Linked DNA regions of Bombyx mori. The protein of the gene in region 2 purifies or fractionates together with the protein of the main gene of each other region. This does not show direct contact. Links are inferred from orthologs where the notes say so. Each region holds a gene or a part of one and is shown on either strand. Other genes may lie near its edges.

Region 1 (3,664 bases), on a different chromosome or scaffold from region 2:
TTGGTGTAACAGCCGACCCTCTATGCTGATCGAATGCAACATTGATCGTGCCGATTAGGCTGTTGACCTATTGCTGAAATTTTCAATTCCAAATTTTTTATTCATTCACACACACATCAGGGCAATTATTGTTGATCAATTTTTAATTTACATCGATCCAACTTCTAAGGCTTATGATCTTCGTTCAACCCGTGAAACTTTTCTACAGTTGTTATTAGAACGCATGTGGAAGTGTAGAACGACATCTAGTGGCGTTCGGTTGCAACCAACAAATTAGTGTATGTTGTTACCCTGATGTACGGCAGCCGTCGCTCATGGACATCAGCATCGACAGCAACCTAACGCTACCTCTTAAATCGTTTGAAGGATATGTCATAATGTCATTCATCACATGCGTCATGAAGAACATTATTAGAGCGAGATAGATAGAAGTGGTCCGTAATAGTTTATCTATATATTAATACGTGAAGCAAAAACTTTGTACCCCTCTTTACGAAAATTGCGCAGACGGAAGAGTATGAAATTTCCCACACCTATAGAGAATATAGAGAAGGAGTGTAGAATGTTAATATTTTTGTTAATTATGCATTTTTATTTATTAAATCGATAAAAAAACATTATGCGCACTACCGTGTATTTGACACGCACACGCATGCATACTCTTTGTTTTTTGTCAAACTTTTCTTATTGCTTATAGTATGTGGCCAAATTGAGTATAGAATAAATATTGTTTGTCATTATTAAGATTTGTCTAAATAAAGTGTAGTCTTAGCGAAATCGGTGACTATAGAATTTTAATAGTCCTTGACAATAGAATCTTAATAATGTTCAAACTTATAATTTCTATTAATTATAGTCGAATTTCGACTATTGGGGGGGGGGGGACTAGTTCTTTTTAACAGTCTAATTCTGTCGTTTGTGTCGCGCAGGTGTTCAACGAGCCCGTGATCTTCCTGGGCGTGGACGTGACGCACCCGCCCGCCGGTGACAACAAGAAGCCTTCCATCGCGGCCGTCGTCGGCTCCATGGACGCGCATCCGTCGCGGTACGCCGCCACCGTCAGGGTACAGCAGCACCGGTAACCAGCCCTTCCATATTACGTAGTCGTATATTATTATTTCCCTACCTATTCGCCGGTAGAGTTGTTCCAACTACAGTAGATTGGCGGGAATAGAGACTAGAGTTAGAATAGGGACAAATCTGGGATGTCACTTTTGTTGTTGTTAGATTTGAATTTGTTGAACTGAAAAAAACGTTTACTTAGTGTTTAAGAATGTTAAATAGTTTAATTAGTAATTTTTTGCTTAATTCGCAAGAGCAAGTTTCCTTAAAGATACATCATATAAGGTCTATTCAGAAATTTATAAAACGTAAAATAAATTTAGTACTTTAGAAGTAGATTAGTGGAGCGTGTTTTCCAGTTCGAATCGGGAGGTACCACCGTCCTACCAATTATATTGGTGCAAAACAAGCCATACAGATTTTCTTCATTACTAGTTTCACACTGCAATAAAACCTAAATGAAGGTTTTTAAATTGAGCCCTGGGAATCGCTTACGAACAAAGCGAGCTGTGAGGTCATACGTGAGGTCTTTGACCATCTACGCGAAAAATTATATTCAATAAAATCCTTTTACAGGCAAGAGATAGTTCACGAAATGAGCAGCATGGTCCAGGAGCTGCTCATCATGTTTTACAAGAGCACCGGCGGATTCAAACCCCACCGGATCATCATGTATCGCGACGGCATCTCCGAAGGCCAGTTCCTGCACGTCTTACAGCATGAGCTGACTGCTGTGAGGGAGGCTTGTATCAAGGTCATTATTATTTTATTAATCATTTTATTGACTTTACGTTTATTCATTATTTTAACCCAATCATTATCACTTATATGTTATTTTATTTATGTCGTGAAAAGTGCAGTATTACCAAACAAGTTTTGAAGGCTGGGTGCTACCTCAGAACAAGACATTAATTGATGTACTTTAATGCAGAGGTTACATAAAACAAACCGTTTAGTAAATATAATTTCATACGTAATACTCTGTTCGTAATAGTCATCTGGATAGTGCCTAAGTTACTTTTGTACCTGGTGTTTGAGACAAATTTTAATTATTGCTTAACTATAAAGATGTTTCTTTATTATGAATCGTTTATTTAAAGTAATCGCCTATAATTATATCTTCCAGATTAGGATAAAGCTAAGAGTTTTATCTTGTTATTATTGTCATACACGCGGGAAACCATATAAGATACGACCAATTCAATCGAAGTCGGATCTCGTGACTCTGTGGCTAATTAAGGTCAATGACCTAAATAATAACATTCGGGATAATTGTAACCTGTACAAAAGAATGTAACAACGTACTTTATGCTACTGAATAGTTTCAATAGTAGTCACGTATAATATCATATTGGTTACAGCTGGAAGCGGAGTACAAGCCGGGCATCACTTTCATCGTGGTACAGAAGCGACATCACACGCGGCTGTTCTGCGCCGACAAGAAGGAGCAGTCCGGCAAGTCCGGGAACATCCCGGCCGGGACCACGGTCGACCTCGGCATCACGCATCCCACCGAATTCGATTTCTACCTGTGCAGTCACCAGGGCATCCAGGTACGTGCCAATACGATTCAATCGGCCGTTCTCTAATCTGGTATACTGATGCTAGGACCTCTTCTGAGTCCGCGCGGGTGGGTATCACCACCCTGCCTATTTCTACCGTGAAGCAGTAATACGTTTCGGTTTGAAGGTTGGGACAGCCGTTGTAACTATACTTATAGTTGTAAGAGCCGCGCTTCGCAGAATCTACCAACGGATTGGAAACGCGACCCACTGAGAAGATCCGGCGAGAAACTCGGTGGGCTGTGTTTGAGGATTAAACAGCAATGCGCGCGTATTGAATTGACTGATACTAAGTAACTAGATGGCATAGTGATGTTGTTGTGTCGCCGACAGGGTACGTCGCGGCCGTCGCACTACCACGTGCTGTGGGACGACAACCACTTCGGTTCGGACGAGCTGCAGTGCCTCACGTACCAGCTGTGCCACACGTACGTGCGCTGCACGCGCTCCGTGTCCATCCCGGCGCCGGCCTACTACGCGCACCTGGTCGCCTTCCGCGCGCGCTACCACCTCGTCGAGAAGGAGCACGACTCGGGCGAGGGCAGCCACCAGTCCGCCTGCAGCGAGGACCGCACGCCCGGCGCCATGGCGCGCGCCATCACCGTGCACGCCGTCACCAAGAAGGTCATGTACTTCGCCTAACGCAGACGACTCATAGAGACATATCTAACGAAACACAAACGTTCACTCCCAACGTTCCGCCGTCGATTGTATCGCGGAGAAACAGTTCTCGAACGTCAAGAAGGTCATGTACTTCGCCTAAAGCCGACGGGTCCGCGCGCGCCCCGCCAACTCAAACATAATTCGACGCTTGACAGGCAAACGTGACTAAGCGACAATAACTGCTTTGTACATAAACGATAGGCAATAACCGCTATCGATGCGCAAAAAAAAAAAATATTTCTAGGTCTATTAAAATCATATCAATCCCACAGCTAGATTCGTTAAAATAGTATAATAGTAGTAATAATAATTTTTTTTTCAGGTATTTCAACTTTAAATTAGTCTACTGTAAAGTTCACGCATTGTCGCTTAGTCAC
Region 2 (2,427 bases):
CATTATTCATATGGAAAGTGATGCAACAATATGAAGGCTCAAAACCTAACGACATCAATACAAAACACATAGTGATATGGCCTGCATTAAAATTAAATCTCATAACGTTAGAGCCCATAGATCAAATGCATAGGTCGTCGCACTGGTCTTTGCTGATGTCGTAAGATGTTGAAAATTTCACTTTTTGGTCATAATCTTGAGATACTCCAAGGCGTTCTGAGCAGCAGATGACTGGGCATCCTTGCTGGTGAGGCCGGCTCCGTGGCATACAGCTACTGGCAATGTGGAAAGCTGGACAAGACACTGACATAGACCAGTCATAGACTTTTCTTCTATGTCGACATAGGTCACCTCAAAAGATTGCTCTGATGCTATTTCTTGCAAGAACTGAACGAAGTTAAAATCCTTATTGTTTAGTGGTGTCACCTGTTTTATAATTAAATAAATTAATATTTCAAATGACAACATTCATGCCAAAAATTGATACTTTCATGCAAAACAACTGTTTCATACCTGCAACTTGGCCAGGTTGGGGCCAACAGACTGTTTGAGATGTTTGTGGAACTGCGACACTTTATGGCTATGGCTCGTGGTCAATGTGGAGATTTTACTATCTTTCAAATCGGCATAACGGGCCGCAACACCGCCCTATAACATAAAAAAAAAACTTTTATTGTCAACCGACTCTTCTGTTGTTTCAGGCCTGTAACCTAATCGAAAGATAGTAAAATACCTGGCCAAGTGCGAACAACAATAACAATTTTAGGGGAATGTTCCAAAAATCAATTGATGGATATTGACAACTATTACATGAAGTTAATTATTTATAATAATTGAAATAAACTGTTGATGGTAAGTACATTCAAACAACACCAAGACAACTTATCAAATAATTGTAATTAATTTTCAGGTAATTATTCTGTTGATACACAAGGCATTATATTACACTCTGGCTTCACAATTTTTTTTAACTGACTATAAATTATTCCTCTTTTTTCATACATACAAATACCAATTTTACTAGTAAAAAAACAAACTGCTATTGCCAGTCTGGCTCATATACTTTTATTATTAATAAAACTTATCTAGCCTCAATATGGTTGAATCAGACAGAGAACATGAAATATGAACTTTAACATATGCATTCGGAGTTACAAGTCTAACAGGCAAATCACCTAGTACTCTGAAGTTACTTTTAAAGTTCCTGAGTAATATTAGACCTTGAGTCCGCGCGGGTTTGTACCACTACCCTGCTTATTTCTGCCGTGAAGCAGTAATGCGTTTCGGTTTGAAGGGCGGGGCAACCGTTGTAACTATACCTGAGACCTTAGAACTTATGTTTCAAGGTGGGTGGCGCATTCACGTTGTAGATGTCTATGGGCTCCAGTAATCACTTAACACCAGGTGGGCTGTGAGCTCGTCCACTCATAGAAGCAATAAAAAAAAAAAAAAAACTTTTTAGTTTTAGTTGTGTTATCAATGTCATCAAATTGTGAATACAAGCCCTTAATCAAGCAGTTCCATTTCAGCATCGGAAACAGCTCCCTTATATCCTATATTGAAGTGAGTTTATGCGATATAGTAGTAAAATTAATATTACTTTACCTCATCATCATTCTGGAAGGATTCTGGTGGGTTGTCCTGTAAGGCCTGCCACATCTTGTAGGCAGCTTGCCGTTTAGCTAATTTCTTTGACTTGCCTGTACCAACTTCACGGCGCTTGAGCAATGTGCAAATGATCGTAAATTGACGTTCATGGGGCAAACCTGAAACTGCTACAATTTTTGTAGTATTGTAGACCCACATTCTTATGTTTCACATAAATTTTACTATCAATTATCAATGATTTATTAATATGTAAAATTATATTAATGTAAAAAATATATTTCTTTTCTATTTATTTAGATCTAAATATACTTAAGTATACAGTGTTAGTTGTTATCAAATATTACAAATAAAGTAATAGAAATGTACAACTTCTATTATATTATATCATTTTATAGTTTCCTTAAATAATATACAACATAACATAATAATATAATGGACAACCAAATGACTACAAGAAGACTCAGAAGAATAGTGCATATAATTTATTTTTTTCTCAAAATTATGGTTGAATGTCTAACTTTAAAAAAAAGTCACTTAAGCTAATAAATAAAAAGCCCTTGCTAAAGTAAGTACCTAAGTAAAATTAGTACGAAAACTTACGTCTATTAACATTGTCATCGTTTTCAGCATGGTAAGATGGTGGTGGCCAGAATCGTGACATACACAACTCCTGAAGCCATCCAACAGGATTACCCATTAGTTTATCTTCAAATGTAGGTACTACAGCACCACTAAAATTGTTTTTTTTTTTATATTAATTGCATTGCAAATAATAATAAAAATATTGTGAACAAAATGTTTCAATAAATTTGGATATGT
Region 3 (4,386 bases), on a different chromosome or scaffold from region 2:
TAAATTTATATAATTTTTTTATTATTATTATTAAAATATAATATAATATATATAATATAAAATATTTATATTATTATTTTTATGTGATTGGAAACTTCCTCATTGGAAAACTACCTGATACCTGCTCGAATACTCACTTAAGTACTCAATTATTCTTCATTTAATAGACTATTTAAAGACAGAGTAGTTGAGAACTGATTCGAGTAACAACAATACGCACCTAAACGTCGAAATGTTTCTTAACAATTTTTAACTTGCTTTATCTTTAGTTTGAAATAACGGTTTAAAGTCGTAAACGAAATACGTAACGTAAACGAAACGTAAAAGAATCCAGTAAACTACTCCAGTACTGACGCTGCATTCGAATATTGCATGGTATTCTGGACTCGAGACATCTCAATTATTTTTGTTATAAATGCTGAAAATCTAGAATACAAAAAATAGCCTATCACTAATATTTTTTCAGGGACTATATGAATTGTTCTCGAAAGAGAAAGGAGGTAATGTGTGTACCTACTAACTTTACATACTTAAACCGAAAACAATAGTTATTTAGAAATTACTTACTTAACGAAATACCGACTTACCGAAATAGCACTAATGTGATTATGTTATACAGCAGTTTTAAAAAGAATGAAGTGTGTTGGGTTGAAGTGAAGTGTGGTAGTTTATGGCGCTATTTTTAAAATATTTTCACTTCTAACTTATGTTGTACTCAACGGACACTTTTACACTTTAAAAAAAAAATGAACATCAAACGGTACATTTGCGTTTAGCATTTAATTTATTTTTTTATTATATTTAGCATTTAATGCTGCCACTGTCAAATTATTGTGTTATCTCTATAAGGTACTTCCCCTACTTTACTTTTTGAGGCTTGGTGTACGTAGTAAAGTTGTAGTCATAGACATTCAAAGAGGAACGTGACCTAAGAAATCTCTTGAAGTTTATATTTTATTTTTTTAAGCTTAGAAAGGTTTCGTAGTCGTACCGGCTAAGATTAAAATTAAATGCTTACTATTAAACATACTTTATGACAGTGCTGGTATGTAACCGGTAAGTTTATTTTTCTTGCATTTATCAAGAGTATATTACTAGGTACATACCTATCTACTATATCCAAATAAACATACATTTTAGTATTTAAAATTCATCCCTTAATTTTATTTGTTGTCTTTTTTGATTTATTATATTTTTTTCAAACAAAACTGGTTCGGAAAATAACAAAATAAAAAATGTCGTATAAATAACAATAGGTATGTCGACAATATGAGTTTTATTTCATAATTATTTACCTAATTTATATATAATACATTCTGTTCAAATAACAACAAACGCAAACATTCTAAAATATGATATTTTCATTAGTAAACTGATTTATAAATATATAATATAATTTAGAACTTCCAAATTCTGCATGCACAAGTAAAATGACTACAACAGAAGGAATACAGTATCACGAACAGAAAGCTCGCCCCTATCAAGCAATACTGGAAGAAATAGCAAGTTCAAAAAATACAATAATTCATTTGCCTACTGGTAAGTACTGTGAACTGTGATATAGTACTGATAGTTACCCTTAAACAGACTGTTGTGCAATAAGGTTAATACACACAAATAGATTTTTATGACAAAAGGTACAACAATATTGACAAACAATGAACAAACATTTTTACAGAATACACATTTTCTTAACAAGAATAAAACACCAGGCATGCCTTTTGGATTTAATAGCTTGGGTATGCAACTCTGGGTACCATACATAATTAACATCTAAAATTCTTCCCCTGAGAGATTAATATAGAATTCATAAATTCTACATATAATGTGGGTGAAACTTCATCTCAGGTTTTATTATACTATCCCAGAAAATTTATTTTAGTTTTAAATAAAAAATATTGCATCATCATTTAACAGTGTTTCAATATTGTTTATCATTATGTGTCATATCACTAGACATGGTATTTCTCAGCCCAAAGAGTAACCAACAAAAGATTCCACTTTTCATTTTCCAAATTGCTAGTTGTCTCTTTTATTAAATAGATTAAAGATTGATTCTATTACAAAACACAACAATTTGTGATGATGACCTGCTAAGTAACATAAAGCTGGCAGTAATATTTACTATAATAATAATATAACTGGAAATGCATACAAAACTCATAATGGTGCATAACAGAAGCTTCTAAATACACATTTCTCAGAAAAAATTTAAAAGCTAAAATTTTGTATAAAATTTTGATAATGCTATTTTCAGGTTCTGGAAAAACTTTTATTGCTCAGAGGCTTATAAAAAAGTTCCGTAACCAATTAAAAAAGCCTTGGGGAGAAGGTGGGAAACGCAGTTTCTTTCTTGTAAACACAGTTCCGTTAGTAAATCAACAGGTGCCTACACATTTTTTTATGTTATAAAAATTAGTATAAGAAGTCAGTAAACCTGTTCATCTGTTATCAGAGTCACCATTCAACCACGTTGATAGAAAAAATTTAGTGTCATACAAGGCAGATAAAGTTTACTGACCAACCGATTGTTTGTTGTTGCTGTCACTCATAGATATCCTCAATGCTAGGGGTATAGCCCTAACTTTACAGATTCTTCATAAAGCTGATTAGAACCTTCATTAAAAAGGTCCTTAAAAGGAACCTTCATTCTTCATTTGGTGAGGTCTGAGCAATGAGCACTAGTTATCTGTAAATTGACCAACCTCAAGTATGTATAGATAAAGATAAAAACTATCTTAAATTCAAAATTGAAATTATCATTGAGAAGGTTGTGATTTATTCACTATTAAACTACATTACCAACTAACTGAGTTTGAAATAACAACTTATACGTAATTCAGGGTTGAAAAGTTGTGTATTTTAACTGACATATTTTAACCTAAGTTAAAGAGGTTTGTATATTCGCATTCAGCAGTTTTTCGCTACGGATAAGTCAGGTTTCATGCCAACCGGTAAATGTTTGTAGCGTTTAAAATAATTCATTTAATTAACCATTTCAAAGCATGTCGTGAACATGACTCAATGTATTCACGGACATAATGATTTATTAGATACATAATGTATTATTAGAGTGATTGAAGAGGAAGGTTTATATGTATAATAACATCCATTAAATAGTGGAGAAATACTGTTCTTTTTGAGGTTCTTAATGTGATATCGTAAATAATCAAAAATTAAATTTCATGTTTCCAAAGCGAAGCGAGGGCGGGTCGCTAGTACCATATAAAGTATAGAGAGCAGGCATATAAGCTATTTTATTTTCCCAAATTTTCTTTTAGTTTAAAATTAACCCTTTCGTTACAAGCCTCTGCTCTAGACGGAGTCCGCGCGACCATTTGTATGTACGAGTGTCGCTACAGCATGATAATCCAAATTGCCAATTACTTTCCGTTGTTGGTCGCTGATCAATCGTAGCTTGTCACGTAAAAGGTTTTTACAAGTTTTTTTTTCTTGGCTTGGAGCTGTTCTCTGAGACCATGTTCGTAAAGAAGGATTATAGGAAATATGTAAAATCGTGTCCATACAACGAATCTGGACGTGTAGAATAGTGCGTATTGATAAGAATCTTCATTTTCAACCCTAGTAGTCGTTGTAGTCAAATCGTTCATTTGGCGTGAGCTAGCTCTTTATATTGTTGTAGTTGTGTAATTAGAAGGCGTGTCCGTAATAGCTGAGCTACTACTACAGACATACTCGCAGCGCCTACCCCAGGACGCCGACGGGTCGTCAAGGCGATCGTTTACTATCGCCGCTGGTGTTCGGGATAGCTCACTAGAGACTAGACTATATAGGTCCGAACCAGCCTGCCGGGTCGGAACGCGATACACCGCCGACCCGGTTGTTCTTGCACAGTACGATGGCGACGACTGAGGAATCTAGAAGCTCGTAAACGATTTCACGCAAACTTTTTTGGGGATAAACTTATCGGCCCATTCTTAAATTAAAAACCGACCGAATGTTTTTTTTTATTTTTTTACAGTATAATGCATAATTTTCACACCGTGTACTTGAATATGTCAAACTACAATTTAAACACTGAAGTGTACTGGTTCCAGGAATCCAGTCATCGTTCTTGTCGAACCCGTCGCTTGCAACGAAGGGCTCGACGAGTAAATTAACCCACAGACACAGCCCACTGAGTTTCTCGCTGGATCTTTCAGTGGGTCGCGTTTCCGATCCGGTGGTAGATTCTGCAAAGTACGGCTCTTGTTAGGGTTCGTGTTAGAAACGTCGTCAGGTTTGAGCCCTGTGAGCTCACCTACTAGTTAAAAAAAAAGAAGACGAATCGAATGAAATTTATTGAACTATGAACTTTACACTCCTTTATTAAGGCTGATTAATGTATAAAAGAATATGATTTAAAATAGATCAATAAAAGATTTT

What was found.
Region 1: the proteins of Loqs (region 2) and Ago1 purify together in Drosophila melanogaster (affinity purification with western blotting; 4 studies listed by BioGRID, with this or other methods). This does not show direct contact. The link is inferred for Bombyx mori from reciprocal best matches to the Drosophila melanogaster genes loqs and AGO1.
Region 3: the proteins of Loqs (region 2) and dcr-2 purify together in Drosophila melanogaster (affinity purification with western blotting; 9 studies listed by BioGRID, with this or other methods). This does not show direct contact. The link is inferred for Bombyx mori from reciprocal best matches to the Drosophila melanogaster genes loqs and Dcr-2.

Annotation. Positions count from the first base shown.
Region 1 is NC_085111.1:12,337,761-12,341,424, reverse strand, and holds the end of Ago1 (argonaute 1), read left to right. Parts: intron 1-929; coding exon 930-1,078; intron 1,079-1,638; coding exon 1,639-1,816; intron 1,817-2,423; coding exon 2,424-2,615; intron 2,616-2,957; coding exon 2,958-3,266; downstream 3,267-3,664.
Region 2 is NC_085114.1:6,389,970-6,392,396, forward strand, and holds part of Loqs (loquacious), read right to left. Parts: intron 2,340-2,427; coding exon 2,209-2,339; exon of another isoform or gene 1,894-2,208; intron 1,776-1,893; coding exon 1,606-1,775; intron 649-1,605; coding exon 514-648; intron 427-513; coding exon 178-426; 3' UTR 1-177.
Region 3 is NC_085129.1:9,461,069-9,465,454, forward strand, and holds the start of dcr-2 (dicer-2), read left to right. Parts: upstream 1-1,430; coding exon 1,431-1,539; intron 1,540-2,257; coding exon 2,258-2,385; intron 2,386-4,386.